Linked DNA regions of Astyanax mexicanus. The protein of the gene in region 1 interacts with the protein of each later gene in a biochemical or structural test. Links are inferred from orthologs where the notes say so. Each region holds a gene or a part of one and is shown in the gene's direction. Other genes may lie near its edges.

Region 1 (10,266 bases):
TTTGATGACATTCATCAGAATGATAGTGATGTGTGATGCATAAAAGAAGATATCAAAAAATAAGAGTCTATAAGAGTCTAGAGTTTATTAGTAATATCAAAAAGATATTTAATGCTTTTCCAAGTTCCTAGTTGCTCTTAACAAAAACTGGTATCTCCAGGAGTCAGGAGATACTAAAATGCTTTGCAAAAGCAATGCATCTGAGCAGTAAGTGCTTATTTGTTCAAAAGCACTAACACATACATTTGAAATGATAAAGGTATAGCATGTATTATCACACTGGTTTTGGTTGTTGGCTGTTACAAATAATACTTGCAACATATTTCAACATATGCAACATATGTGTTTTTAATATGGTCAGAGATGTTAAAGTTATTGATTATAGAGTTTAATAACCAGGTCCACTAAGATGACATTCTTGGCCCCTTGAGTAAGGCCTTAACCTTGTTGCAGTGGTCCTAAAGTATGGCTGTCCCTGCTATCTGTCTTCCTAATATGAGATATGCAAAGAGAGGGGTTTTACTATATTAAAGGAGTAAATTAACTATAAAGGCATATTTCATTAAAGTGAATCAGAAAATAAAAGTGCAACAGATTACATATAGAACTGTGGCACTGTACCAAATGTTCTTTTTCATTGCTGACATTTCTTAGTGTTCTTGCAGCAACAGCCCAAAAAAAATAGACCCTGATATGACCTTTAATCCACTGATGTTAGTGAGAGAGACAGAGGATTTCACAAATAAAACAATTGGGCTAAATTCAGACAGATATTGCCATTGTAAAGTGGTAACTCTTTGCCACTGCATGGACTTTCCCAAGGCAAAGCTGTTTGAGGAAGTGAGCGGAGATATGAGATCAGGTACAGTAGGTTGGTTATTACCTTTGTTCCTCACCTAAAACCAATGTTACTTCCTTAAGCAAAAATATCTTTATCTATAATAAGCCATTTTAGCTGCTATTCTCTCCTTTCTTGTCCATTTTGATCTTGAGCTGATTAATCTTAGGCTCCAAATCTTCAAGCTTCCTTGGTGCCTGAATACACAGTATCCCATCATGTGAAAGGGAGACCTGGAGCAGAAGTGGGTCCACGCCCATGGGAAGGATGTAGGTACGCGTGAACTCTCGGCTCACAAAGCCGTGGTCATCCATTCTTTGCGCGTGGCGGCCGGTGACCTCCAGCAGGTTGTCCACTGTTCGTACATTGAGCTCATCTGGAGTGAAGTGGCAGACGTCCAGCTGAATGCGGTACCAGTCATCGTCGCTGTTTACTTGGGAGAAGCCCCTTTCTAGCTGCTTGTTGATGCGAGGCCGGATGTAGTAACCATGGTACAAAACTGGGGCCATCAGGTCCTGAGGGGACAGGGCTGGGGATAGGGGGGTGAGGTCAACAGAGGGGATAGGGTTAGCAGTGAAAGTAAAAGCCAGCAGCTCCATTTGTGTTCAATTCTTTATGTCAGTCCTGCTGTTTTTCAAATGCATTACCATATTCTGCAAGTAGATTCTGCATGCATGTGTGTATGTGTAGGGTTTAGCAGGTAAAGGCTTGTTTGTGAATTTTGACATTAGCAGAACTAGGGTTGGGTGATATGGCCCTAAAATAATATTACGGTATTTCATGTTTTTTTTTTTGTTTGTGATAACGATACTCTTGGCGAAAAGACAAAACAATAAATTAAAAGAATACACTATTCTAGAATACATTACTGCAACAAAATGAAAATGAAATATTACTATTGCATACATTATTATATGGCACACCCATAACTGAGATATAAAAAATACAAGAATTTTATCAGATTTGTAAAAGAAGTCAATGATTCAGAATGTCATGATACTAAAAATGCACTCCTAATATCTCCATATATGCAGGATTAAAGTAAAATAAATGATACTGGACAGATATAATCTGTCTCTAGTAGATATATAATGGAAAATGAGAACAGTGTGAATTGTCCTTTTGTTAAAAACAGCAAAAAGTAGCACCTTGATGTCATAATTAGGAGTGGGTAATATGGCATGATATTTCAGGGTATAATATCGTTCACCATATTCAAAAATATTAGCAATATTATTGTCTACGATACAATATGTCACACCCCTAATCAGAACAGTATTCTGATTTTCCTACTACATCATCAGATCAGGCAAAAGTTCTCACAGTATGGGAAATGCTTATAAAACAAGAAAGTTTTCTTTACTTTGCATTTATTTCACTGTAGTCATATTTATTTAATTTGTTAATATACACCCATTCCTGCATTTCAGGCCTGCGACACATACCAAGGGACATCCATGCATTGCATGACAATGCAAAACCTTATGCTGCACACATAACAAAGGCATGGGTGCAGAATAAGAGGGTATCGTGCTGGACTGCCTTGACCACAATACAAAATGTGAGAAAAAAAATTAAAAGAAAAATGCAAAAATGATGACCATTTACTGTTAGACGTCTTAAGATATTGTTGCAACAAGAATTAACCAAAATAATGCCATTTAATTGCTTGCTATGCCCAGTGCCAAAACGTCTTTTAAATATTGTGAGAAGGAATGGCAATGTTGCAAAGCGGTAAATGTCTTAATGTCGCAACTTCTGTGGAATGTGTTACAGGACTAAAACACAGAAATAGATGTACAGCTCTGGAAAAAAATATGAGACCACTTAAAAATGATGAGTTTCTTTGATTTTACCAAATTGAAAACCTCTGGAATATAATCAAGAGAAAGATGGATGAAGCCATCAAACCAAGCTGAACTGCTTGAATTTTTGCACCAGGAGTGGCATAAAGTTATCCAAGTTATGCCAAGATGCATGAAAACTGTGATTAAAAAACTAGGGTTATTCCACCAAACATTGATTTCTAAACTCTGAATATGAACTTGTTTTATTTGCATTATTTGAGGTCTGAAAGCTCTGCATTTTTGTTGTTATTTCAGCCATTTCTCATTTTCTGCAAATAAATGCTCTAAATGACATAATTTTTCATTGGAATTTGGGAGAAATGTTGTCCATAGTTTATAGAATAAAACAATGTTCATTTTACTCATACATAAACCTATTAATAGCAAAATCAGAGAAACTGATTTAAAAAACTGAAGTTGTCTCTTAATTTGTTTCCAGAGCTGTACATTAATACATGAAATGAAGTTGAGCAGTTCATATTGTAATGCAATTAAAATTGTAAATGTAAGAAACACAGTGTTTTATTATTATTTGCATTCTGTATACTGTCCCAACTGAATTGTGTAGTGTTACAAATGCAGTTAAGTTGTTCAAATGCTGATCAATATAATTTTAAAATATCAGTTACGTCTAAACATCTCTCTGGTGTGGACATAACATTTAAAGCAGTTTTAAGCAATACATAATTCTTCTTCTGATATCATTGTGCATATCTAGATTTTTGTTAATCTACTAACTGAGTTCACTTCCTCATAGAGTTTGCCTGACAGTACCATAAAAATAGAACGTCCCTCCCCTCTATAAAACACCAGAAACTCTTACATCAGGTCTAATTACAAACAGTGTCAGCAGCGCAGGTCAAGCGTCATGTTTTTATTTTGATCATATACTGCGCCCTTATCTTCATGTATATATACTACCATTAATGACACACACTGTGGTTGCTCAGTGCTGGATATGAGATATTGGTTCATATTCAGTCCAGCAGTGGATGACAGTTATTTTTGTGTGGTAGCCTTGGACTCTTTGTCATGTGTGGTATTCTAAATATAAATCCTAGCCTGGGCCTTATATTTCCCTCCAGTATAAAAAGCTGTCATGGGGGATAGTGGATCAGGCAGTCATCACTTCAGTTGGCCCTTCTAGTGCAGGTTCATTGGCAATTAAACAACTCATGTTAACTTCATCCTCTGATATCACAAGTCTGCTGTTGAAGAAGTAGGGCAGTTCATGCAGTTTAAAAAAGTAAAATTTTTTCTTATTCAAAATGAAAGAGAAACTTTTTCTTCAGCTGTTGTTGGTTTAAAGATATTATTGAGTAGCCCATATCTTGTGAATGAAAAATAATGCCATTGATAGAACACCTTGAAGCAATTTATCTGGATTTATAAGACACTTATCATAGTTGCGCCCAGAAGGAATTAACTGACAGGAAGAAAATTTGGCGGGTAGTTGTGACAGGCTGAAGGATGGAGATAACCAACGTATGTGTGGAAAGTGCCAAGATCAACAGTTTGCTGTCATGTGTTGCACATCTATAGGGCCTGGTGTCACCAGAACACCTCTACAGTCAGTTTTAAATGCCCAGGGTTACATTAATAACGTCCTTCAACCAGTGGCCAATACCTTTTCAGAATGCACCCTGCGGTTCAACAGAACAATGCTCATTCATATTCTACTGCCATTTTAAGAGATTTCCAAAAAAAAAAAACACAACACCAGACCTATCCTTGATTAAAAATGTGTGGAATTCTATTGAACATGCTATAAACTCCACCTCTTCTGCAAAATTTGTTGAAATATTGTTAAAATTTAAGCTGCATGGAATAGTTTATTGCAGGAGACTGTTAGGAGACGTCTGGCTTGTTTACACATTACACATGCATTACACACTACTTCAATATGTGTAGCTCAATAAATACTTCCCACATCTTAATCCACGTCTTAATTTGCAATCATGTATTGTTGCTGGCAGCTTTTATCTTCCCTCCAAATAGCATAGCAATCTGAATACAAGTGAGCTTGACTTTTGATTGAAGATTCTCTTACCTTCTGCAAAGTTCTGGTCATAAATCCGTGCAGGAGTACACATCTCATAGTTCATACTCATGGGGTAAGCATGGGGAACGGTGCGGTCAGCCATGCTAAAGCATGGGCCGGGTGTCCAGTGCTGGTGAAAATGTAGCAGTCCTTTCAGGTACAACAAACAGGCAGGATTGTAATGGAGAGTACAGAGAAAAGAGAGGCAGCAAGTCTGTGCCCTAGTGCCTGGACCTTGGTAATAAACGGGTCCAGAAATAGCCTGTGGCGCACACACACGCTGGTGTTGCATAGCCTAAAGGGGGAGACACACTGAGTGATATAATTCTGGGCAGTGTTTTGGGTCTCTTTATTCAGAGTGGTTGGCTTTCTTCTAAAGGAAAGTAAATTAGCAGCTGTTCTGAGACTCATTGGAGTTAATGGATGAGTTGTCAACTTGGGGCAGCCACATATACACATAAAAGTGAAAAGGTCAGGAAGTCAGTTAAATACCCAAGGGTACTGTCAATGTTATGTCGGTGCATATCTAGAATTCTGCATAATATTCAATAGAATATACAATAAGTCATGGAACAATAACTAGTTTAATGTACCATGAAAGCTAAAGACTCCTGCCCTGCCCTGTAGTATATGTGTGTAGGTCTCCTGCATTGAATGGGTTTCTACCAGAGACGCGTGTATGTACACATAGACAATTCTAGCCAGACACTGCCGGTCACAATCATTACCAGCCACTGAGAGTGGGTAGGCCAGAGTGGGTAGGAGATGACTGATGACGGACTGTGCTGCTATGCCGACTGCGTAAGTGGCACTGTGCCGGGTGCTTGTGCCAGTTTGACTAAGCCCGCTGAGGCTGGCGGGCACCAGGGAAATGCTTCTTTGCAAGCACATTGACTCTGTATGGTGCTCAACCCTGCAGAATGATCCCACAACCATTCACCATCAGCCCACCGAACAAACTGGCCTCGCGCCCGGTGTTCTGCCGAAGACAAAAGACCCTCAAAGGGGGTTCAGACCTCAAACTACATAAAGCCAAATCAGGACATGAACATGATAATCTGCTCTGGCACACAGCTAGGCTGCTTGGTCCACAGTTTTTGTGCCAGAAAAGCCAAAAAACCAAAGGCTACACTCAGCACCTCCCATTAGATTCTGTATGGCAAAGTTTCCAAATGGGTATTCAGAGCAAGCCCTGTAATCCGGCCGGCATCTGCCTGAATGAAATCACACCACCGGTTTAGATAAATACGGAGAGAGGTATCTGGTAGAGAGGGATGAGACAGCTTGCAGAGGAGAGTGGGAGGGACGCAACGAAAGGGGGGCCATCAAACAGTTTACATCATTGTTCCAGAAAGATCCGCAGCTGGCTGGGCCTGGCTCTGTGACTGCTACTGGTGGTGTATATAAGTGGGCAGGCTGGGCAGACAACAGGTTTTTCTCCAGGAGGACAACGCTAGCCTTAGGTCAGAAGACGAAATGGACGTCGCCATCCAGCATCCCTGGTTCCGCCGCTCTTTCTGGCCATCCTTCTTCCCCAGCCGGATCTTCGACCAGCATTTCGGGGAGCATATCCCAGAGAGTGAGATGTTGACCCCCTACCCCTCATTGTATTACCCACGACCCTCTTTCTTCCGCTTACCTAGTTGGGTGGAAAGTGGGCTATCAGAGGTAAGCAGCTCTGACATCTGTGTATTTCTCCATGGTACATTCTATAACTCTATAACTCTATAAATCTACGTAATGTACGGCAAAAGGGTAACCTCGGCTGGAGAACCCCATACTGGAGAACGGTGTTGCCAGTGGTGTTCTCTTAATAAATGACACAGGGACTAATAAGGAAAAGTTATTTGAGAAGGTTGCTTTTGTGGATTCTGAGCTCCCTGCCTGGAGGTGAATTACCATTAATCTAGAAGACAGCTTAAGAAACCCTACAACAGGAAAATTAAAATGTGTATCTTACAACATTCCCACTGCTCTGAAGGACCATGCAGGACAAATGAGCAATATAAATGTGTGTTCTGTGAGTAGTTTTGTTGTCACCTCATATTACTCCTCTTACAGTGGCCTTGATTACAATAAATTAAGCACAATTATTTTGTGCTTTTCTCAGGCAAGTTTAAAGGGTGTTCATTGTCAACTTTTCCTTGCAAGAAGCAATTTTAAAGATGCCATTTTATCAATATGTTTGGTGATGAGCACATGTTGCTGCTGGAAGGCTCAGTGATTTCCCTGTAATAGAAGTCCTTTCCATCTCTGTCACTAAAGAGCAAGAAAAGAAAACAGATAACAGTTTTTTGCATACAAAAAGTTTATATATTTTTTTATTTTGTACTATATCCACAATAAAAACAACAGTAGTCCACATACAGAATAACCCTGCCATACAATATTATAATGTTAAGTTCTAAACAATGTCTTGTTATTTCTAGCAAATCATGTAATCATGATTATGTAAACTGTGTTTTAAAATTGGAAGGGAGCACTTAAGCTACATAAAACTGAATACTGGAAATCAAAACACATTCATGTTTTGTGCTGTCTTTTATAGATGAAAATGGAAAAGGACCGTTTTACCATCAATTTGGATGTAAAACACTTTGCACCTGAGGAATTGGCAGTTAAGGTCAACGGCGGTTACATTGAGGTTCATGCTAAACACGAGGATCGTCAGGTAAATACAAACAGCAGTGGTTTCTAACTCTGGTTATGGAGTACCCCTGTCTTGCAGAATTTGGTTAATAATTTTAACTTAATTGGATTTAATTAATTAGATTTAATTCAATTTAATTATTTTGATGTAATTCATTGAATATAATTTAAATAGATTTTAGACCAGTTTAGATTGATCGAATATGGTTAAACAAGAAAAACATAAAAAAAGTATGCCTGTCAAGATAAGAGATTTTATTAGACAACATACTGTCCCATGAAGTGCAATTAACAATATTATTGTAATTCTATGACTATTTTATGTCACTGATTAGAATAATGATAGAATAGCACAATAATGCAATTAAACCCATTTAAAGAACAATAAATTGTTAATGATTCAGACAATAGAAATGAAATTAGAATATCTTGAATAAATAAAACATAAATAAAACAAAAACAGATGTCCATACATTATACGATAAGTTAATATTGTAATTATTACGTATAGGAAGGGGTATTTTTCTCAATTTTTCTCCAACAAACCTTTTTGTCAAGTTGGTCCACTCTTATTACAAGCATTGACCTTCTGATGTAAGCGTTTTGTCTGGCTAACACTGCTCTAATATCATATTTCAGTCAGTATTCATTGTTTAATGCCTGTAAATGTATATCTTTTTCTCCAGGATGACCATGGGTTTGTCTCACGAGAGTTCCTACGAAAATACCGGCTCCCTCTCGGGGTCGACCCAGCCAGTATCACCTCTTCACTCTCTTCAGATGGCATCCTCATGGTTGCAGCCCCTCGCAAGCTCTCCGATGAGCCTGAGCGCTCCATTCCCATCACTCGAGAAGAAAAGCCTGCTATCTCTGGCTCACAGAAAAAGTAAAGCTGCTAGATACTTGCTCCTTTCTGTCTCCCCTCCGCTGTGGTCCCCCTGCACTTATCTTCCACCTTCACATCCCAAGTCAAGCTTTGAGGAAAAGCCAGTGCTAGCATTGAGCTGAACCTTCTAGAGGCTTGGCCTTTCCAGAGGCTAGTCCTAATCAAAGGGCTCATTTCTGAGCTAGCTAGTAACTGTTCTAGCACATGTTTCTGTGCTAAATAGTGATCACTGAATTGTCTAATTCGGTTGGCACATCAAAACCGTGTCCTCAGAGATATGTACATCATTACACCACAGGAGTATTGTTTGTGCCGCTCAGCCGCTGGACGCAAAACACATTTTGCTTCAGCAATCCCAACCACAACCACGCCAAACAAAAGTGCTCTTTGTCTTTTACAGCCAGTCAGTGGCAAACAATGGTGGCACGGAGTAGAGAATGGTGAGGGATTGAGTGTAGGAAGACTGGATGTTTGAGCATTTTTGTGATCAAGCGGTGAAAAGAAATTAGCCTACGAGGAAGAACACTGTGAGGGAATTTTCACTGAGGTAAAAAATGTTGTTTGTTTGGTTTCAAACGTTTCATGTGAAGTGGGAGGTGGTGTGCCGAGGAAAAATGAGTATGTTTCGTAATTTGGTACTTCCTTTTCATGATGGACTTGGGACCAGATGATACATGAAGATCAAGTGCAGGTAGCAACAAGGTGAGGAGAAATGTTATAGAAAGAAAGTGACCTCTTTTTTTTGGTAGTTTCTGTGGGATTCTGTAGACATGACTTTTCATTGGTTTGGATGGATTGATATATGGCGTCTGGAAACATCTTGTTATAAATGGAGCAGTGAATCAAATATGATGAGGTTTGGTTTGATATTGAAAAGCTGCGTTCCAAAGTCTAGATTGGCTCCATTTCTCAGCCACTTTGTCATAAAAGCCTGTCATAAGTGAAGGGCTCTTCTTATACAGCCTACAGCTGAGAAATGCAGTCAGGGTTTGGAGCAATAGACCTTGGAGTGCAGATAGAAAAAAAATGGGGATGTGGGAATTTGGTGGAAGAGATTATAATTAGTTAAAAATTATTCAGAGGTGTTTGGATTTCCTAAAGAATGTGTCTGCTGACTTTTTCACATATTTTAATGTGTTTCAATCAAGTATTTGCTCATATTCTACATAAAATATATAATACTACATTTTGCAAACAATAAAAAAGAGATTGGAGGTTGTTTACTATCTATAATAGCCATCTATTTTTACAGCAATGCTCCCAAAAGCAGACATCCCACCTCTCCCTTACCTCCCGGGATTCTCACACATACAAGGCATTAACTTGTTGAAATTAGTTTTTACAGGGCAGATTGTCTGCAAAAATATTATTGAGAAAGCTGCTTCAATAAGAAATGATGTGATGTTGTAACAAGGCACACAACGTAATACACTTTTGGAAACACTTTCTTTGTGCAAAGGTAAATGTGGACCACAGTTATTATATCAACTAAAAGGCACAAGTGAGGGGGACACACAAGTAGCTGTTTCATGTGTTCTTGGTTAGGATTGGTCTTTTACATTGTCCTGGGGTTAAAACTGCTTTTAAACATTCTACAAGGTTCTTTAACTAATACCATAGAACAGTGATGTATAGTCTATTCCACTCTCAGATTTTCATTCTAACCAACCAGCAGCACAATTAATAAACTCATGAGTTTTTTCAGGAACTGATAATGTGCTTCTGCTTGTCTGAAATGAAAACGAAAAAAGCCACACCACTCTCATAGAAGAACCCTTTTTTACTTCCCTAAAGAACCATATTTGTATAAGAGACCCTATAAACACGTAAATATCCTTTGCTTTAAAAGGTTCTTTACCAATATAAAGGTTCTTCACACTCACATCTCTTCAACAAATATTCTTTGGGGAAACAAAAATGAGCTTGGCTCCAAGAACCTTTTTAGCACCTTTATGTTTAAAAGTGTAAAATAAGAACAAACAGGTCTCAGATCAGTGTAAAAGGC
Region 2 (10,646 bases), on another chromosome or scaffold:
CAGTCAGACGTCCATAACTATCTTGGCAATACAGGACATAACACACCCAAGATTAGTGTACTTTTCCTGACGTTACGATAGCAAAGACACACTGACACGCCCTAAATCAAGCCGCAAGGTGCGCAGCTGATGACTATAGATCGCTAAATTAGGGCCCACAGTGTACAAGAGATGCATCCAGTAGGTAAACCTCTTTTGGGACCATATTTGTGCTAAGAATTTGATGACTAATTTGCATTTTAAATTCACATAACAATGGGCTTTACTCACCAGTACCTAGGATTTACTTAAATATGTCCTTAACGAATCCTTTGGTAATATTTGTTTTTTTGTAGAACTTTCTACACTGTATTCATTTTACAAGCACACAAAAATCCAACCCTCATGAAGCCGACTGAAAGAATCAGCCAAGAGTGAGCAAAGTTGGCATCAAAAAGGTGTTACTTTGAAGAATATAAAGTATAAAACATAATTATATATAAAAGTATAAAACATAATTATTATAAAACATAATTAAGCTTTACTTTAAAATTGCATATGTGTTCCTTCATAGTTTTGATGTCTTCAAAATCTACAGTGTCTAGAGTGAATTAAATAATAAAATGAAAGAAAAAAACATTAAATGAGAAGGGGTGTGTCCAAACTTTTGTCTGGAACAGTACATTTTTATTGTTTTTGAAAAATAGGGAAGACAAACACACAAATGCACCATTTACACCTTAGTGAGGTATTCAGTGAAGTAGAACAAAAATAAATACACATACAATAATAATAACAGTAGACATGATTAAACAAGAACAAAAAAAAAAAACGTAATTAAATGACATTTTAATCTATTTCTTTGCACTACACACAGCTTTGGCTACACAAATCACAATGGCTTCAAAACTCTTTACAATAAGGGTACATCAGTTAACAGTGGCAGTGCTTTGCTTCAGTACAGAAAATTCAGAAAAAATGAATAAAAGTACATTTTTAAAGCAAACCATGCCTAATCCACAATTTTTAGGTGTTTTATTGCCATACCATCTAACACAGTGGTTCCCAACCTATGAGTCGCGACCCAACCTATGGGTCGCCAAAGATCCACGATGGGTCGCGAAGCCCTCTTGATTTTAAGGGGTTTCATTTTAATACTATATATAGTCTAGGGTAAGCAAAATTCGCCGCGCTGCGCTGCGCTCTCTCTGTCTCTCTCTCTCTCTGACGCGCGCGCGGGCGCTCTCTCTGTCTCTCTCTCTCTCTCTCTCTGGCGCGGGCGCGGGCGCTCTCTCCGGCAGCGCGGAGCTGAATTCAGCGCGAGGCTGAATATAATAATATAATAATATAAGAATATAAAACTCAGTTTAGTTAAATAAATGAAAATGAGTGAGGGCCTGTAAAGTTAATCAATTATTGTCCAATATTTGGACAGGTTGAGGTTTTGGTGAGCTGTTTTACTGATTTGAAACTGAAACTGAAACTGATATTATTCTTTTTTTGTTTGTTTGTTTTTATTTTATATAAATTATTTTTTATTCATTTTAAATAGTTGTATTATTTTATTGATCTAATTATTTTTTTCTTCATAAGATAAAAATTCCTTATGTTTTATGTATCAATTTTTCCTTTTTTACGTGTTTATTTTATTCATCTATAGTAAATGTCAGTTTTTATTTGTCATTTTTAAAGCACAGCGTATTTCAAACTTCTGTTCTTATAATAATCCCATTATCCATTATCCAACTCACTAACTGAACAAATCCCAATTCCCAATAAAACATTTTATTAAACTTTAAAAACGGTTGGTGAATAAGTCTTGTGATTTAGTGTGTGAGGAAGTCCAGGTTTTAGTTGTACATGGCCATAAATTATATTATTGATATGTTAACACCATTTTATACCATTATTATAATGACAGAATACAGTAGTAGCACAAAAATTAGACCATTTTTTCAACTCAGTAAAGTTTTAATTATTAAGAATATTCTGACATTAAATTTGGACAAATCCAGCAAAATAAATAAAAACCCTGTTTTAGAAGATGGTGAGTTAGAGATGGGAGAGTGAATTTATTTTGGTATCTGAAAATGGCATCAGTGTCCTGGCATTAATATACCTGAAATCTAATATATTCATTCTAAAAACAGTGATAAAAATGTGAACTGAGTTGTCTGGTAGGTTTGTTGGATGTAAATGGTTTATAGATTCTGAAAGTTTTTCATAAATAAACAAAATGACCAAATATTATACTAAAAGCAGAATTTCATACAGAAATGTATTACATTAACCTGCATTAAAATATGCTTCCACGTGTATTCTGTAATTACACACTCTCACCAGAGAGGTCGGTACATTCCCAAAACTTGCAGAAAGTCACTTTAAAGTAAATAAAAATACTGGCATATTCATGTTAATGGGCTCTTCTCAGTTAGTAACACATCGGCTAATATTAAGGCAAGAAAGATTACTAAGTCCATGGACAAATATAAAATAACATGGATAACAGTGGATAACATACTTATTGTGGGAGGCCAAAAATGCATTTATCTGAAATAATAAAATGCAATAAAATGCCATTCAGTAAAAATTGCCTTAAGTAAATATGTGGTCCCAAAACAGGTATAATTGACCACTGGTGACCTATTAGGTTCGCTTTTAATGTGGTCATTCCTAGTGTTTTTTTATAATTTCCACAATGAGACTTAAATACGATTGGATTGTCACAATCTACCCATCTTTCTTTCCATCCTGTCTTGTCTTCTAAGTAAAACTATTCTTATTTGTTAATTGTGCAATACTTTTTTTATTGTGACTGTGTGAATTTCTGATATAAAATGTACTTTGTCATGCACTCAAGAATAAGAATGACATGCATCCGAATGCTGCCATGTCATTGATACAGGAAAATCCAATGTGAAAAATGTATTAGGAGAGACATGCAAATTGATAGGCTGCATGAAGTTTGTTTGGGGTAAGTGTCCTTCAGCCTTGATGTGTGTTTTTAAGGACCCTTTTCCAATAAAGTGTCATATTTGTGTACAGTGTGGTGAGTATATTAAATATTGCTCATGTTCCTAATAAGCAACAGATACCTTAGAAATATTCACAATATCTATTGTGTCTCTTGTATTGATATTGTTTGTTATGCTGTTTTAGCAAGTACATTAATTGACAAAAGAAATTGATGCACACTGGCTGCCTTATAAATATGCACTCAGAGGCTAATTTTGGGTAGTTTACCTCTTGGTGAAAGATCTTTAAAGTTTTTCTGAATTGATTGACAGATTTTAAAAGGGTGCATCATTAGACTAAGAGAAGCAAGATGGTAATTTTAACAAATTCCCTGCCCTTTAGGCCATCCTTTAGCCAGCTACCATTAGCAGTCCAGAAACCCTCTACACATTAGACAAATCCAGGTTATGTTTGGATTTCAGTAACAGCCTTGTTTTAGTATGGAGGCTTCATAGTGAGCGCTTCAATCCTGCCTTTGTTGTGGAGTGACACCAATTGACAGCCCCAATTGCTGGTGTGATGATCTGATTATCATCGCATATGACAGTGAGTAACCCCTAGTAGTGATACGAGGGACACCAACAATTCAGCAATATGTGCAGGACCTCCTATCGCCACACGTGTTGCCTCTCTTGACAGGGTCTCCAACTGACAGGAATGTCTCCACTATATTGCAACATTTCCTTGGCTTGCCAATTTGCAAAATCTAACTAATGGCGAGCGTTTATGGGAGCAGCTGGGACAGCAGTTTTAGCAACCTACAAGTGTAGAGCAGGATCTACAGGCCCAGCCGCAACATCTGTGCATAAATGTGATGTAGGATGCCTTAGGCAGCCCAAGAGTCATTTATAAAAATGTCCATTGAGAAAGCTAGATGCAACACAGGCAAGGATAAACTCAGTTAGCTGCCAATATGTGAGCTAGAAATAATATCTTAATTTAAGGAACATAAAATCTTTCTCAAAACCCATTTTACACCATATATCAAATTGCTAAACCAGACAAAAGCAAAAGCACAAACATATCCATTCTAGTTTCACCATTCACCTAAACAAGACTAGGCAAGACTAGTTTTGCAAGACCACAATTGGCTGCATCCAAAACACATTCCTTTGAAAGTGTACTGTATCTTAGAGAAGTGCGAAAAAGTAATTCACACAGTTGGAGTTTATCATAAGATTATTGTTAGGGTTAGAGCTAATCTTAAACTTTGCCCTTAAATCCTAAACCTAGCATATTGTTGGTGGTAGTGGAAAGAGAAAGGCGGACTGTGGACATTTAATGAGCAGTGATGTGCTCCATGATTCATCCTGTTAGTGATGGACTACATGCACAAAGACCATTACAAAGACCATGTCAAAATCAGTAAAGACTATAATGGTGTCACTATAGGTTATCATTGAATGACTTAGAACTGCAGAAGTTCATCATTATTAAAAACAAATTACTGTTTGGATGGAGATGCTGCTATTTAACAAAGTGCAAATGTACTACATAGGGGAGAGGGAGTGATTTGAGACAGAGTGAACACTTCATAATGGTTTTCTATACAAATATTCTATATATATATATATATATATATATATATATATATATATATATATATATATATATATATATATATATATATTTACACTATTAACCAGCTCAAAGTAGCTCCACACTTCATTGGTAGAATTCCAAGGGTCCTGGCATTTTAAAACGAGGCATTGAGAACGGTAGAGAAAGGTAGTTTATTAAAAAACACTGTTTATACACAGTGTACCTTCAGGTAGTTTTCTGGGAGCTGCCATCTTCAAATTAAATCACAATGAGTCATTAAGGTAAAAACAAGTAAAAATAAGTAGGATAGGGGAACAGATTGCAAAATTAATTCTGTGGAAATGCAATGTTGCAATCTATTTCCCTATCTTACATATTCGTTTGTTACTTTATCGACTTACTGTGACTTAATTTCAAGGTACTGTGATTATAAACATTGTTTTTAAAACAATACCTGTACAGTTTCAATACCACCAGATTAAATTAATTAGCTTGTTTATAAGCCATTTCAAACAAGGGTATGTTAAATAAGATATCCAGTAAATGTACAGTACAGGGTGACCCCAGGACCAGTATTGAGAAACACTGCTACAGACAAATTGTTGCCGGACTAGACTAAAACCATTTTCACTTACTGACTCACTGACAAACTGTATTTAAGTGTGAACTGAATGAGTACAAGGAAAGAAAGAAAGAAGCTTAGCATAGCTATGTGGCACAGAACCACTAAATAGCACGTATCGATTAGTAGTACTCAACAGAAAGCCATGGCTAAGATAAACTAAACTGGCTAATTTGTGGTTAGGCTGTGTAAATCTGATGCTTTTTCACAAGTCAGAATGATTATTCAAGATATACATGAACACCTTGTTTATTGACCCTGTTAGCAACCAGTGTTTTTGGTCTAAAAGAAAGATGCTAATTTTAGACATTTATCAACACTGACAACTGGCAAAGCCATAAATAAGTTCCAAATAAGGCAGACACACTCCAAAAAAACTCCAAAAAAACATTAAATTAAGTTACTGAATCCCAAGAAAATAATCGGAAAATGCCTGAAATGTAAAAAATGCTAGATTCTAAAGAAGGAAGGCACCTGGTCATGTCTTCATTTAATTTTAGTACGATACCCTTCTGTTTTTTTGGGGGCTAAAATGCTAACATTTACTGACCACACATCTAACGCTCATATCTAGTAGTGAACCATAAGGCAATATGGCCTTTAAATAATATCACAATATTTTAAGGTATTTTTGTGATATTCTTGGTGATATGCCAAAACATTTAATTTAAAAAAGTAATATCAAAAATACACTACTGTAACAAAATGTTTAATGTATTTATTATTGCATTCAATATGATATGGCAGACGTCTAATTAAGATTTCCACCAGATTGTAAAAGAAGTCAATAATCCAACATGGTGCTTTTGCTAAATGCCTTAATTACATTTCCCCTTACATTACTTTAACTTTTTACACTTTGAGTAGTTTTGAAACCACTTTTACACTTTTACTAAAATACAAAGCTTGAGTTGATACTTCAACTTCTACAGAAGTATTTTAAACTCAATTATGCATACCTGGGAAGTGTGGGAGGCAAGGCATCAAGTCAACATCTCTCGCGTTCCAGACACCCATAGTGTGTCATAGGTTTCGGACGCACCCATGTTTCTTTTTCCTCAGGCGTTTCTTACAGAACTGCTATAATAAAAAAGCACAGTTGCGCTATTTCGGACGTTACCAATTGCATGAAACTGCGAGACCGATACTCACCAATCAGGTTATGCTGAACACCGGCCTGACCAATAGCGTTGCACATCGTCGTTTCCACCTCATCAGGCCCCGCTCGCTCCACAGTGCGGCTGCTACATTTGGGCCCGAGTCCCTTCTTCAACCTTCACTGCGGCCACCGTATCAGAGGGGCACCTTCAGCCAGCTCCGCGGCGCACAGGCAGCGGATCCTCTACTACCAACCACTTATATTTATAAACACAGACCGCTAACATGTCCTTCCTCACTATCAGCAGGCTGGCGCCGAGGCTGCTCAGCTCCAAGGTGAGATTTCACAACTTATCCGAGGTTCTCCGGGAACAGGCCGGTGGGCAGAGTAGCGAAATGGCATAGTCCAGATCCAGACAGTGAGAATCCACTCCAGGATTTTGCTCCAACTGCTGAACCAGTGCTGCTGGGCATGAACAAGCTAACACTACAGACAAGACTTGTAAATTCAAAATCCTGGAGTGGATTCTCATTCTATGGACCTGGATACGTCACAGCCGCTTAGTTAGTTCTTTATGGAAGGATCTGTTTAGTTAGCTAAACCTCTTCTCTCCTCTACATTTCTTTAAACCACTTTAACGCTAATAATAAGGTTAAACGTATGTTTCTGCGGCTATTTTATCGTCTTTTCTGTGTCCAACGTTAGTGACCTGGGTAGCTGGGTAACTAACAAGGCTAGTTGTCCTCTGAGGCTTTCACATTTATTTAACACAAGCTAAGCTAGCTAAGCTAATATTAGCGGTTAGCAGCTACATAGACAGCTAACGTTACTGAAGTAGGTTAGGAAGCTAACGGCGAGACTGTGTTAGTTAACCGCCTTGCTTAGCTCAGGAAAATATCATTTTACATTACTGGCACACGTCAACTAAGTAACCTAGATAAATAAATAAACATCTAGCTATTTATCTGAAGGTTTTTTTACAAGGTTTTGCTGTGAGTAAGAGAGTTTGCTGTTGGAAAGCTAGCGTTAGCTGACTAGCTAGAATGTAACACATATCTAGGTTAGCTTAGCTTAGTTCAAGCTAACTATATTAGCCAACTAATGTGTTTCTTTGGCCTGTAGCCACACAACTAGCTAACCTAGTTATAGTTCTAATTAATTAACGTGTAATAATAAGGTGACCGTGAGAAAGAGAGCTGTCAGTATGGTTGACAGTGGTGACCATTCTGTTTAAATAAGTTAAGCTGCTATTATCAGCTTTCTAATAATAAGCATTTGGCTATCATTTCCTTCCTCCTTTGCTGAATGAATAATTAATCACTAAAATTACTCAAATGTTTAAAATGCAATATAACCTGTCTGGTATGGATATCAGTTTCACTCAGGTATTTTGAGGGTGACCCTTATTTTTATTTTAATGTAGCCAAGCATTTACAACAAAGAGAGAGCGAGATAAAGACGTTTAAGGAAAAATAGCTAAATTAAGAATACCAATAAAGATTATCAGATTAAACAAAAAATATATGTAGAGGTTTTAAAAACAAAGTGGGGTCAAGAGACCTACAAAGAAGCTAAAAACAATGCAAGCTTAGATTTTTCTTGTAATACATTTCAGCTTGCTAGTTCAGATATTAACTGTTATAATATTGAAGAGGACAACAGTTTATGACCTTCAGTTTTTCCCTTCCAATATTTTTGTTTGGCCGAAACATTGGTGAGCATGTGAACCTAGACTTGATTCATTACATGTCTGGCCATTGAATACAGTAGACTTTATTTATAGACACAATGTGAACTTCTAGTCTCATTCATTGCCGAAACACAATTCTTGTCATCAGACTCGTATATGTTGTCAGGTTTCAGTGAGCTGAATAAAATTTCAGCCTTTTTGCTACTTTTTGCTATTGTGTGAGTAGCAAAGTGGTAGATAGTAAAAGCTAAGGCATGGTATACATACCATGAACCAGCATATGGGTTCTGACAGTGTATTTTTCCATGATTATATAGTCCAAACCACTTGCTGTAGCTTTACTTTACATTATATTTACTCTGGGACTAAGCTATTTGATAATGCCCTTCACTTAAAGTCCTTAAACTACCTTTTAAAAAGGAAGCAATTTCTTTGTTCTCAAAGGGAGTGTTTAAAGTCCTGAATCATGTGCCTTTCTTCTTTTAACATTAATCAACACCGAAAGCATATACAGTACGAAGTGTGTAAAAGAAAATGTGCAAAGTAGTTCCTTTCCTCATCAAGGCTGTAAAGAGCAATTTTGACCTAAAGAGGTCATTGCTTATCACGGCTGTGTTGGCCTGCTTTGCTTCTTGTCTGAGTTCTAGTTTAGTTAGGCCTTGATGAACAGCTGTTTGGCTGTCAGACTGATTGCTCCTTGAGTGACTCTGTCCTTATCAGGGTTATTGCTGTGCTTCCTACGTGATCTTTGTACTTTTTGATGGTTAACTGAAGCCATACGTCTGTCTGCTGGGTGTGAAGCATGTGCTATATCACACTCGTTATGTAAAGAATTATTACAGTATAGAGAAGTGCATGACACATCATGTGTTTGCTTCTCATGCTAATTTCTCTTGCTTTTGTTGTACTCCCCAGCCTGCCCTTGTATAATTTGGCAACATTTTATTTCATGTTCATAATTCTTTATATAGAAAATATTTTTTTTTATATTTGTTAAAATCGACATTTTACATGTGATCGTGATCCAAATGCATTAGTAGCAACCGTTTTATAAACTGGTATTTAAATACTCTCCTACTATTGTACATGATGGTGATTTTTATTTAAAATATCCTTCTGTTTAACCAGTAAAACAGGACTAATTGGTGTTACAATTTGGTTAGTGTTCTTTACACTTAGTAAAAAAAAGTGTATTGTCGCTTAATTGAAGACATTTTTACAAGGAAATATTGTCATATTGCTCATTGGTACATGTTCTCCATATGACTCTGCAGATCTAGAATTGGTCTGGTTAGTAGTAGTGGTTATAATGTAATATAACTAATTATGTAATTTTTTTTTTTTTTTTTTGTAACTGTAATGTATATCTGCTGAATCTCTAATAACATTTGTGTAACTGTTGCTTATGGGATTCCAGTTTAAATGAATTTTCTTTTATTTTTTCCTTTTTTATTATTATTAAATGACCTTGTTTGACCTCAGTGCTCTCTTTCTGGTCTTGCACCTGAACCTGCCACAATAGTCACCCGATCTGCTCCTGTAGCTTTGTGGTACATCTGTGAGCTGTGTGTGGAATGTCCTTCTTTTGGAAAACCATGCTGCCTCCCTTTGAATATGGTGCAGTATGATTGCAGCTCTTTTAGCTAATGTAAGTCAAAGGTCATTGAGAATGCAGGTGACCCTTGCCAACTGATCACGAGGCCTGCATATATATATATATGAGCACAGACATTCATACTACACTAGTTTCCATTCAGTTTAAGACCCTTTTACCTTGTTTTATCTGTTTTTTTTCTTCAAGGTCACTGTAACTGAATATGTAATTTGCTGTTGTAAAACCAGGGTGCATTGATTTTATTTTGCAGTCTTGGCATGCATTTTGAAGAAAAATAATAATACAGCCTGAAGACAAGAGTGCAAAAGTTGAAACATTTGAATATATTTTAATATAGAGTAGATTTGTGTCAGGTTTTACCATTAATTAATGCGCTTTCTGTCTACTGAAGTGGAGATCATGGCTCACAGTTTTAGTTCGCATGCAGTCATGAGGCCGTAAGGTTTAAAGTTACTATGTAGACAGGTCAACAGAAGCTGCCAGGCTTATTACATAATACCCCTCTGCTACCGTGTAATCTCAGTTAGGAGCGACTGAGTCTTTAGTAGTTTAAGCAAATAAAAATGCATGAATGTAGCAAAACAGAATTTCAATCTGTCTTAACTATTTTTAATAATTTAAAAGTTAATTTCTCTTTAAAAAGGCATGTGAGAATGTGTTATGCTCTCATTGTCATTTTAAGATTATTTTATGACACTAATATAAGACAATCATTTATTTTAGTTGTTTCTGCGGCATTATATTTATTGTCCAGTAAAAACTGGTTATAGTTGCAGGCCTACTCCTCCACCTGCATGTTTTGTCAATTCCCTGCTCCAGTACTTCCTTAAACACAGGAAATGCTTGTTCATGCACTAATCAGTTGGATCAGGTGTACTTTGGCTTAGTATGAAGTGTGCTATAGCACCAGAGGATCATTTCTAGATTATTTTCAGGACTGTTCATGTTGAGCCTCCTAACTTCAGTGGTGGGTGCTGGGTAGTGGGTATAGGGTTACAGGGCACTGCAGTATGATTACTGGTCAGTATTCAAGAATGTGGCACTGTGCCTACCTTCTCTCATACCAGTGCATACCTACATACCT
Region 3 (10,835 bases), on another chromosome or scaffold:
ACCCTCCACCTCCAATCACCTCCCACATAGTCTGGTTAAGATTGACTTTTATCTCAATCCTCAAACATACTGTACTAGCTACAGAATTTACAGCATCTTATAATAGTTTAGTAGATCAGTATGACAGTTAGTACATGAATATGTTAAGTGGATGCTTAGTAGATTAATAAGTAAATACAATTCCAAAATTGCTCCATTATATTGTAGACGGAAAATATAAAACATAGCCGATAAAATAAGACAAAAGCATGCAGTGTAATACAAACAACAGAATTACTTTGAAATATTTATTTATATTTGTAGGAAAGATATTTTCCAGATGCCAGCATCCCTGAGAAAGAAACAGGTACAGCAGGACCACAACATGTCTCCTCATCAGCAGAGACAATGGGGTCCTAAAGCCTGTCTACAAGAAAGGAGAGGAAAAGATAATCCTCGCCTGAGCAAAGCCTGCCATGTCAGGGGCCCTTCCCAAAACTCCAAGCCACGATTCTGCTCATACCAATAGCATACCTGTCAGATGCTCAGTGAGGTGGTGGAGATATACAGTATATGAACATAGGGAGCTTGCTAGTGAACAGCGCAAACAGCACCCCCTTTTGTCTTTTGCCTACAGTACAGGCCTTGTATTGTTTAAGCAGCCAGATGAATAGGAGGTTTGGACTTTTGTTGAAGTTCATTGGATAGATTGCTGGGGAAAGATTCTAAAGAAGATACAATAAATCAATATCGTAATTCCATTTTTATATACCTAATCAACATATATGAGTGTAGATGTATAAATAAAATAATAATAATAATATAAGAGGGGTTTCAGAAGTGAAAACAAGTCAACAAAACTAATAAAAAGCAGTCTTTACATGATCCTTACATGATCCATCACATGATCAATTTGCCCCAGTTGTTATCTAGGAGTTTGAACAGAATATGCCACTAATTATTTTTCCCACTCTCTTCTTCCCTAAGGAACTGCAGGTCATCAGCAACCAGAAGCAACACTGTGGCCCATTGCTCCATAACATGTTATATTCCTTTGTAATCTAATAGAGCTGTCTGCCACAGTAGCCGCGCTCTGTTCTGAATGGCTCTGCAGATGCCAAGAGATGAATTGAGATGATTTGTTCACACAGAGCCTCTTCTTGCGCCATACGTCAGTCCCTGCCGTGTCCATTATGCAATCATATCAAAGCAGCCTCGGCGATGTGTCTGCATGTCCCTCACTCGACGGAGAGACTGGATCTGGGGGTGGTTGGCACCCCAATCGTTCCAGTGCTTGAAGGGGCCAAACTCGAACAGGTACTGGTATCCTCGATAGCCGGGATACTGGTACCCAACCCACCTACATAGAATAAAATTCCATTTGGAAGTGCATTCATGAAAAAGAACTCTGTACGATGATATATACTGTAGCTTATTATTCACAGTGGTCATTGCTTATTTACATGATACAGACAGTGACTCACGTTCCGCCGGTGACTTGAATGCTAGCTACTCTGTCTTGGAAGCCATAAGACCACAGGCTGGGGATGTCTTCATCGCAGACCTCCATCTTACGGCCGTCAAAGTTCATACACTCAAATAGACAGATCTTATGATCTTGTGGGTCCTACAAGGACAGTGAAAAAGACCTGAAGTCATTTTTATTAAAATTATACATAATGTATATGATCAGATAATTATTTAACCTTACCTGTATGTGATAAGTTTTTAAAAGATTTAAAGAGTTTAAAAGTTCCTATCATTGATCAATCTTAAAACAATGTCACGTTCACTTTGCTTAAAACACCATTATATAGCAAATTTACCATATACAGCTCTGAAAGAAACGTTAAGAGACTACTTCAGTTTCTGAATCAGTTTCTTTGATTTTGCTATTTATATATGTTTGAGTAAAATGAACATTGTTGTTTTATTCTATGAACTACAAACAACATTTCTCCCAAATTCTACCTAAAAGTATTGTCATTTAGAGCAAATGGAAATGGCTGAAATACCAAAAAAGATGCTGAGCTTTCAGACCTTAAATAATGCAAAGAAAACAAGGTCATATTCATAAACATTTAACATTTAAAAATCAATATTAGGTGGAATAACCCTGGTTTTTAATTACAGTTTTCATGCATCTTGGCATGGTCTCCTCCACCAGTCTTACACACTACTTTTGGATAAATTTATGCCACTCCTGGTGCAATAATTTAAGCAGTTCAGCTTGGTTTGATGGCTTGTGATAATTATCCTCTTGATTACATTCCAGAGATCTCTATTTGGTAAAATCAAAGAAACTCATCAATTTTATGTGGTCTCTTATTTTTCCAGAGCTGTAGCCATGGTACATGAAAAGTAAAGTCAGAAAAGACATCAAAGACAACCACATCAGCCCAATGAAAAACAAGAATCTCCATTTTTTTTTAGATGTTTAGTTTACTACTTATTTGAACACAAAAGCTGTCCCTTAAATTGTGCCAAAATTTCTTAATGAATAGACCAGAAGACATACTCCAAAAGTACTCTAAATTAACACTTTTTACATTGACTTCCATTAGGAAGGTTTTATTTCTCTCTTATAAAGGAACTGTTTTGGAGATACATGTTAGTTTTTCATTGGACAATGACATGCTTTTTCAATTTAGATACTGCTAGATTTCTTCTAATCTAGACTTTCTAGATTAGATTTGAAAAGTAAGTGTAAAAAGTGTCCATCAGGAGCAGTTCAGAGCTCTATTTACACTTCCTAAAAGCCTAAGAAATAGTAAGAAATATTCATAAATGAGGATTATAACAGTTATCTATACTCTGGCTCTAATACTTAGGAGGCCATAGCCTAGATAAACTCAAGCAAGATAGGACAAACTTTACAAAACAAAGGCAAAAACCCTTTCCAGCTATTGTTAGAAGAGGTGGCAAATTCAAGTAAAAAGAAAAGGCCAGCTTTAGTTAGTTTAAATCAGAAGGAGAACTGTATATTTTGAAATACAATGATGGGGAGTATGTTTACATTTTGGATCTCTGCTAATAAGAATCTACTATTGAACATTTTTGGTAAGAGTGATAGTTTTTACTTTATTGATTCAACTTTGTTAAATAACTTTACTCTAAAACTAAAGCTGAAATCATGGTAACGTTAATGTTTGCCCAAAAATCAATCTAAATACATTTTGTCATTTTGATTTTGTGAAAATGCTTTTAGACAGAAATGTACAACTACAAGGCAATTTTGGGTGTCTAACTAACTAACTAACTAACTAACTAACTAACTAGCTAGATAGCTAACTAGCTAGCTAGCTTGCTAGCTAACAAGCTAAATAACCATAACTGGCTAGCTAGCTAAATTACTAAGTAACTAATTAACAAAATGTGGTGATAAATTAAACAATAGCACTAATTTCCTAATCTAATAATGTGCTAAAGCATCACCCGCTCATTCTCTTTCACCCACCATGCGAATTGGCCTGACGGACATGAAGCAATCGCAGCGGTAGCTGTTGGACCAGGTGTCCCAGCGAGGGTACTCTCCTCTCTCCAAAATAAACATCTCACCGCACATGTTCTGCTGCTCATAACCCACCCAGCTATGGATGAACAGAAAAACACAATACATGTTTACACATAAAACACTGAAGATAAGGGTACTAATATAAATATATCACTGTATAAGGAGGAGTCGCTGCAGGAAAGCTACAGCCTAGTTGTCTTATAGTGTTTATGTATATCAGTTACTAAACACATACGGTCCACATTCCACTCTGATGGAGCGGACGCGACAGAGGCCCTTCTCACAGATATTGCGACACTCCCCGCTTATCTCCATCCTGCGACCTTGGAAGTTCTCGCACTCGAACAGACATATCTGCTCACACACAGGAGAGTGATCAGAATTAATGAAACATGGTGCAATCCAGTGGTAATGGGGTTTTGAAGTAAACAGAGGGAAATCATTCTTCCACAAAAGTTTGGACCTACTTTGTGGCTGCTCATCCCCATGGCAGAATGGCTCCCGACACTACCCTGCACAGCAGTATGAGACATGGCTGAAGCTGCAAGCATAGACACAGAGAGAGAGTGAGATTAAAAGGTTAAACATATCACCCTCCTATCTCATGCCTTAACCACCCAAATTCACTCAACACCAACTCTCATCAACCACTAATATAACACCAGAAAACAATAGAATAATCTTGATGTCGCTAGTCATCGCCAAAAAAATCATCCTCATGAACTGGAAAACAAAAAAATAACGTTAATCACTGGAAAAATCTATTAACAAACTATCTCCCTGTGGACACACACTCAGAGCCCACCAAAACACAGATTCAGACCCAATTTGGACACATTTAAATAAAACATTACAGTAAATCACATAATCCAACACAAGATAAAGTTTAGTAAAATCATTAGGTAAAATTGCACATAAGTTCATATACATATATATCTTTATTTTTTTTCTCCTATCTCCTTCTGTACCCACTAACTAGCACTCCTATCACTCTCCTATAACTACAACCCCCTCCCCCACAACCCCCTCCCCCCCCTTCGAGGAAGGTATGAACTGATACATACCTCCTACGATACTTCAAAGTCTATATATATATTTTTTTTAGCTCTGATACATCAGCCAACAGACGACTGTGCAGGCCAGCATCACAATTTGAATGATGGGAGAGAGCACCATCTAGTTACCCAGAGAGATCATGACGAGTTGTGCTCTCCAAGTAAGCGGCTTGTCCCAGTATTTGAACATAGTATTAGCATATAGCAATATGAGCAATAGAAGATGAAGAAATTATCTTGCATCTGAATTACCAAATGTTTGGCATTATTAGACCACATTAGGCCACCAATTGGCTTTGCTTGGCCACGTTAAACCACCAATCAAAACTACAAACAATGTGAAATAAATATATTTGGAAAACCTTAGATACAACAGTGGGTTAGCATATAACAGCTTTTCCCTGAATTTATTTAACGCATTTTCCATTATCAGTCCTCTGTTTCCCTTATGCCTGTGCAACAAAACAACACATTGCCATATAAGCTTCAAACAAGCCATATAAGTTTTCTCCTCCAAATGATCAGCCCAAAGGAGCGTAGGAAGAAACCTCATCCTGAATACTACAGTCCAAACACAGTTAATCCCATGTCTTATACAGTATGCGTCTCATGTCATGAAGGGGTGTCCTCTTTGTGCTTTAATTTGGTCCCTTCCCTCAGAATCTCCCATCCATCCATCCATCCATCCATCCATCCATCCACCCACTTACCCTCCCACCCACCCACATCCTGAATCTCACCAAAATGCTGCAGTCAGGCACAGAGCAATGGAATGTATGAGGAGTGCTGGCAGAGGAAAAGATGGCAAGGCCCAAATGAAGTGGCTGGTCCGGCCTTTGGAAGGCTTCTATATATACATATATATCCCAGCTGAGCTATTAGGCCTGCACGCTGCCATGCTATTGGATAAAAGTGATGGGAATTTGGGGAGGGCGTGGAGAGCGAGCTTATCTCTGTGGCCTTGCTGACTCTGCTGGTCGCTTTGTTCCACAACTCTGCTGGACACCCACCTCCATCAGCAGAAAGCCTCCCTCCATTTCTCTCTCTCTCTATCTCGTTCTCTCTCTCTCTCTTTCTCTCTCTCTCTCTCTCTCTCTCTCTCTCACTGTAGCACTGATAGCAATGTGCTGACCTCAGTAGGCTAGTCACAGTTCACTCCACTGGGCTCAGCTCAGTGGGATGCTTCAGTGTTGTTGTTGTTGTGTGTATGTTGGTGGACTTGAAAATACCTGCAGCTGTTTTGATGAGTTCACTTTCTATGATCTTGTGCAAAACAGGAACGTCAAGCCTGAATAGTATTACCGTAATGAGTTGGCCTAATGTAGCAAGCATCCACCTATATATACCATATAGTAAAAGTAGCACTATATAGTAAAAGTTAGCAACTTTAAGCCTAAACTGCATTAAAATATGCTCACTTAAAACACGATTTGACACTTTCAACACATTTGACACTTTCAAAACTGTCTAATATATGATTAATAATAATGATAATAATAAAAATATACGGATGCCACTTACCCTTCATGATCAATTAACTGTCCAAATGAATCATCTTTAGATTTAAAGGAATTATTTGCATCTCACTTTTCTTTCACCTAGTCAGACTCCTCCTCATGTTCCACCTAGCCCCGTCCAGCTGCCTGCTTTGCATACAGTCAAAGGAGTGGGCAGGACATGGATGTTGAATAGCTGCACACGTAAGGGTCTATGTGTGTGTGTGTGTGTGCATGCATGTGTGCATGTGTGTGAGTACCGGTATGTAAAGGCTGGAGGTCAGTTGAGGCACTAGTCGTGTGTGAGGTTAGAGAGCTGTGAGCACCGGCCCGCTGCTCTGTGAACCAGTGCTCTGTGGTTTGGTTGTATAGTATGTTCTTGTTAGAGGCTTTGTTAAAGTAGACTATACTTTATATCAAATGTATTTATATTGATTTTTTATTTTTATTTCTATGCTCTAATTTTTTTAGATTTAGATTTACTTAAAACACTCTGAAGGAGGAAAGTCTGGCAGTTGCTATCTAGTTAGCATCGCCCCCATCCGTGTGTTTTTCGCCTGACCACCACCAGAAACCCGTCATGTGTAAAAAAAAAAGTATGTATGGAAGCCGTCAGCCTGGCACGCAGCCTGGTGCCAGCACGCAGTGGGCACCGTGCCCTCCTTACAGTTGGTATTGTGGACTGGGTAAAGCCAGTGGCTCAGGAACGAACAATGAGGCCTGGAGCAAAGTGCTGACTGCTGCCCAGCCTGTGGCCTAGCTCCCTATTCACCCAAGCCATGTATAAATAGAGCCCTCAGCAAGAGGTCAGGAGACCGTTGTGTGGAGCCCCCCTGAACGCACACAGCTATTTGTTGGGTAGGTCAGGTAAGCCATGCATCTCGGTCCTTTCAGCCGCTTTCCTTTTAGCTCTTTTTTTCCGCTGATCTGCAAAAATCTGCACAACACAGTGGCCCAAAACAAACAGAACAGAACAGGCAGACATGCATGGACACTTTTAATATTTTTAATATTTGAGAGACATGTATGGACACTTTACCTACATGCAAAACAATGCAACTCAATGCATCTCAAGAATAGAAGTATTATAGCAAAACTTTAGATATGCAATCTGCCAAGAACAAAAACAAAAAAACCCAGCTGATTAATTATAATGCACATTATTACATTACATGCACCAACTATTTTTATTATTTTTATTATTTCATTAAGACCTACAAAATGCATGATTTAGATTAAAATAGAAAAAAATGTTAATGACTTTTGTAAAATGTAGACTGAAGGATCAACACTAATATGGGATAAAAGATTGGGGCAATATAGTAAATACATGCTTTTGCTTTATATCTTTATATTCTTTGGAACTTCGGGACTTGTGACATCTGAATGCATCAATGCATAGCAGTTCTCTTTAAATATACAGTATATATATAGTATATAGTATACTCTTCTGTGCTCTTGTGTGTTTTTCAGGTCAAGCAGCACTAAGAAAATTGCAAGAATGGCTTTGACTAATCCCATGCCAATGGGACCATGGAAGGTGAGTGGGCAAGAGGCACAAACATACATAATGCATAAAGAACAAATTGCAATGACCGATCCAATCCAATGTACTCAAACTTCTTAAAACCTGCTGCCATGTTTCCACATGTAGATCACAGTATATGACCAGGAGAACTTCCAGGGCAAGCGCATGGAGTTCACCTCATCCTGCCAGAACATCATGGAGTGTGGAGTGGATAATATCCGCTCCCTGAAGGTGGAGTGTGGAGCGTAAGTCATGCCTTCTGACACCAATATGTAGTCATATTAGAGCTTCAAAATATACAGTATAGCCTATAAATCAGTATGTTTGTCAGCATGTTTACAGTAATAAAGATGGTCTAGATAAGTGCTATGTGGATTTAGATAATATACAAAACCAGGCCTTTCAATGATCCAATACAATATAATCGCAAAATTATTTCTTTATATTACATTGATGTTTTTTAGCATTTAAAAAAACACTTTTTTTTAAGAATCCTGACCTAAGTGAACTTGTGTGTTTGGGCAGCTGGGTTGGTTATGAGCACTCCAGCTACTGTGGGCAGCAGTTTATCCTGGAGAGAGGAGACTACCCTCGCTGGGAATCGTGGAGTGGCAGCAATGCTTACCATATCGAGAGGCTGATGTCCTTCCGCCCAGTCTGCTGTGCTGTGAGTCTGAGTTTCTATTGCACATCCTGATAAACAAAGACAATAAATGATGAGTTTCTTTGATTTTACCTAATTGAAACTTCTGGAATATAATCAAGAGGAAGATAAATAATTACAAGCCATCAAACCAAGCTGCACCAGGAGTGGCATAAAGTTATCCACAAGCAGTGTGAAAGACTGGTGGAGAAGAACATGCCAAGATGCATGAAAACTATGATTAAAAACCAGGGTTATTCCACCTAATACTAATATCTCTTAACTTTCAATACTTTATGAATATGAACTTGTTTTATTTGCATTATTTAAGGTCTGTAAGCTCTGTATCTTTTTTGTTATTTCAGTCGTTTCTCATTTTCTGCAAATAAATTCTTTGAATGACAATATTTTTATTTGGAATTTGGGAGAAATGTTGTCTGTAGTTTATAGAATAAAGCAACAATTCATTTCATTTTACTCAAACAAATACCTATAAATAGCAAAATCAGATAAACTGATTCAGAGCTGAAGTGGTCACTTAATTTTTTTCCATAGCTGTATTTTCAATGTTTAATCTTTAATGACACTGCTACTTATCCCTCCAAAGCAGCTCGAAAGGTTGCAGACAACAGTGAGCTGACTGGGTTTGTGTTGATCTGTGCAGAACCATAAGGAGTCTAAGATTACCGTGTTTGAGCGGGAGAATTTCATTGGGCGGCAGTGGGAAATGTGCGATGACTACCCCTCACTTCAGGCCATGGGCTGGCCCAACAACGAGCTTGGATCCATGCAGGTTCAAAGTGGGGCGTGAGTATCATGAAACAACTCAATGCAACTACCAAAATACAACTGACAAAACAGTTTAACACAGTTTAAGACAGTGAGCTTTTGTTTTACAAAGATCCTGCACTGTATTTGTATTGATACACAGACAAAGATTGTGAATACAGTATGGGATATTTTACACAGATATTAATGTTGAGATTAACACCATACATATGAGCACTTTGAGAAAGTTGGGGCCAAAACAAAGGCCCCATTGCTTCTAGACCAAAACTATGATGTTATTGACCTCTTCTCTTCCATTTCTTCCTCTGTTATTCAGCTGGGTTTGCTACCAGTACCCTGGCTATCGTGGATACCAGTACATCCTGGAGTGTGACCGCCACGGCGGAGAGTACAAACACTACAGGGAGTGGGGCTCCCACGCTCAGACCTTCCAGGTGCAGTCTCTCCGCCGAGTGCAGCAGTAAGGACCGCTCCTCCTCCTCCTCCTCCTCCTTCTTCTCCTCCTCCCTCCCTCCCTCCTCCACCTCCACCTCCTCATCCTCTTCCAGCTCCTCTCCTCCACCCATCCACTACAACTGTGGCCAGCCCAGTTAGACTCCTCATGGCACAGGCTGAAGATCTGGTGCTACACAGCAATTGTTTACAGCACTTTTCTCTCCTCGTTTCCCCCCACAACAAAAGAAAGGAGGGAGCGAGAGAGCCCCCAGCAGGCAGAGGCTGTGAACGGGGCAGTGATGTGACTCAGGCTTTGCTCCTTATCATTGTCACAGTGCGATTTGTGCAAAAAGCGATCAATAAAGGGTACCAACAAAAAATCGCTGTGCTGTGTGAGAGTGCGTGGAATGCTTTCTTTTTGTTTGAAAAGCTGTTAAAGAAAAAATAAATATGAACAAATTGATGTTTGTAACTAATTTTGCAAAGTTAGAGAAAGATACATAAACTACAAAACCCTGTCTTAACCCAACATCAACCTGTAAGCAAGTGTGGATTTAAAAAAAAAAGAAGCAAAAAATAAATCTGAATAAGGGTGGATTTGTATCTTGTCATGTTGGAATGTTGTGTAATTGATTGATTCTTACCAGGGTCATCACTAGAGATTTATGAATAGGGGGGCTAAGGTAGAATTTGGGACAATTAAAAATTAAAAAAGGTGGCCGGCCAACGATGTGCTTAATGATAATTAACATCTAATTCCACCTATAGAGTCAGAGGTCGAAATGAACAAACCAGAGTATTTATATAAACCATATATTTATTTTTTAGCTCAAATCAAGTCAAATCATCTTTATATACAGCTCTGGAAAAAAAATAAGAGACCACTTCAGTTTCTAAATCAGTTTCTCTGATTTTGCTATTTATAGGAATATGTTTGAGTAAAATTAACATTGTTGTTTTATTCTATGAACTACAGAGAACAGTTCTCCCAAATTACAAATATAAATATTGTCATTTAGAGCATTTATTTGCAGAAAATGAGAAATGAGAAAAAAACAAAAAAGATGCAGAGCTTAAAGACCTCAAATAATGCAAAGAAAACAAGTTCATATTCATAAAGATTTAAGAGTTCAGAAATCAATATTTGGTGAAATAACCCTGGTTTTTAATGAACCTGGTTCTCCTCCACCAGTCTTACATACTGCTTTTGGATAACTTCATTGCACTCCTTCATGCTTGTGATCATACACCTTCCTCTTGATTATATTCCAGAGGTTTCCAATTTGGTAAAATCAAAGAAACTCATCATTTATAATTGGTCTCTTATTTTATTCCAGAGCTGTATATACATGTATGTGAGTGGTGGTTGGTTGTAGTAAGTGTGTGGGCTGATGAT

What was found.
Region 2: the proteins of cryabb (region 1) and cs form a complex in vitro, tested with the Homo sapiens proteins (3 studies listed by BioGRID). The link is inferred for Astyanax mexicanus from reciprocal best matches to the Homo sapiens genes CRYAB and CS.
Region 3: the proteins of cryabb (region 1) and cryba1a form a complex in vitro, tested with the Homo sapiens proteins (2 studies listed by BioGRID and IntAct, with this or other methods). The link is inferred for Astyanax mexicanus from reciprocal best matches to the Homo sapiens genes CRYAB and CRYBA1.

Annotation. Positions count from the first base shown.
Region 1 is NC_064408.1:26,482,943-26,493,208, forward strand, and holds the start of cryabb (crystallin, alpha B, b), read left to right. Parts: upstream 1-5,988; 5' UTR 5,989-6,202; coding exon 6,203-6,394; intron 6,395-7,274; coding exon 7,275-7,397; intron 7,398-8,061; coding exon 8,062-8,265; 3' UTR 8,266-10,266. Other genes in the region: hspb2 (heat shock protein beta-2), read right to left, coding at 952-1,367, 4,736-4,829. UniProt on the Homo sapiens protein: May contribute to the transparency and refractive index of the lens. Has chaperone-like activity, preventing aggregation of various proteins under a wide range of stress conditions.
Region 2 is NC_064420.1:6,229,321-6,239,966, forward strand, and holds the start of cs (citrate synthase, mitochondrial), read left to right. Parts: upstream 1-6,391; 5' UTR 6,392-6,541; coding exon 6,542-6,592; intron 6,593-10,646. UniProt on the Homo sapiens protein: Key enzyme of the Krebs tricarboxylic acid cycle which catalyzes the synthesis of citrate from acetyl coenzyme A and oxaloacetate.
Region 3 is NC_064425.1:25,252,976-25,263,810, reverse strand, and holds cryba1a (crystallin, beta A1a), read left to right. Parts: upstream 1-6,825; 5' UTR 6,826-6,911; intron 6,912-7,517; 5' UTR 7,518-7,545; coding exon 7,546-7,584; intron 7,585-7,698; coding exon 7,699-7,817; intron 7,818-8,097; coding exon 8,098-8,239; intron 8,240-8,879; coding exon 8,880-9,022; intron 9,023-9,320; coding exon 9,321-9,468; 3' UTR 9,469-9,821; downstream 9,822-10,835. Other genes in the region: crybb1l3 (crystallin, beta B1, like 3), read right to left, coding at 1,171-1,339, 1,464-1,606, 3,437-3,569, 3,729-3,847, 3,961-4,026. UniProt on the Homo sapiens protein: Crystallins are the dominant structural components of the vertebrate eye lens.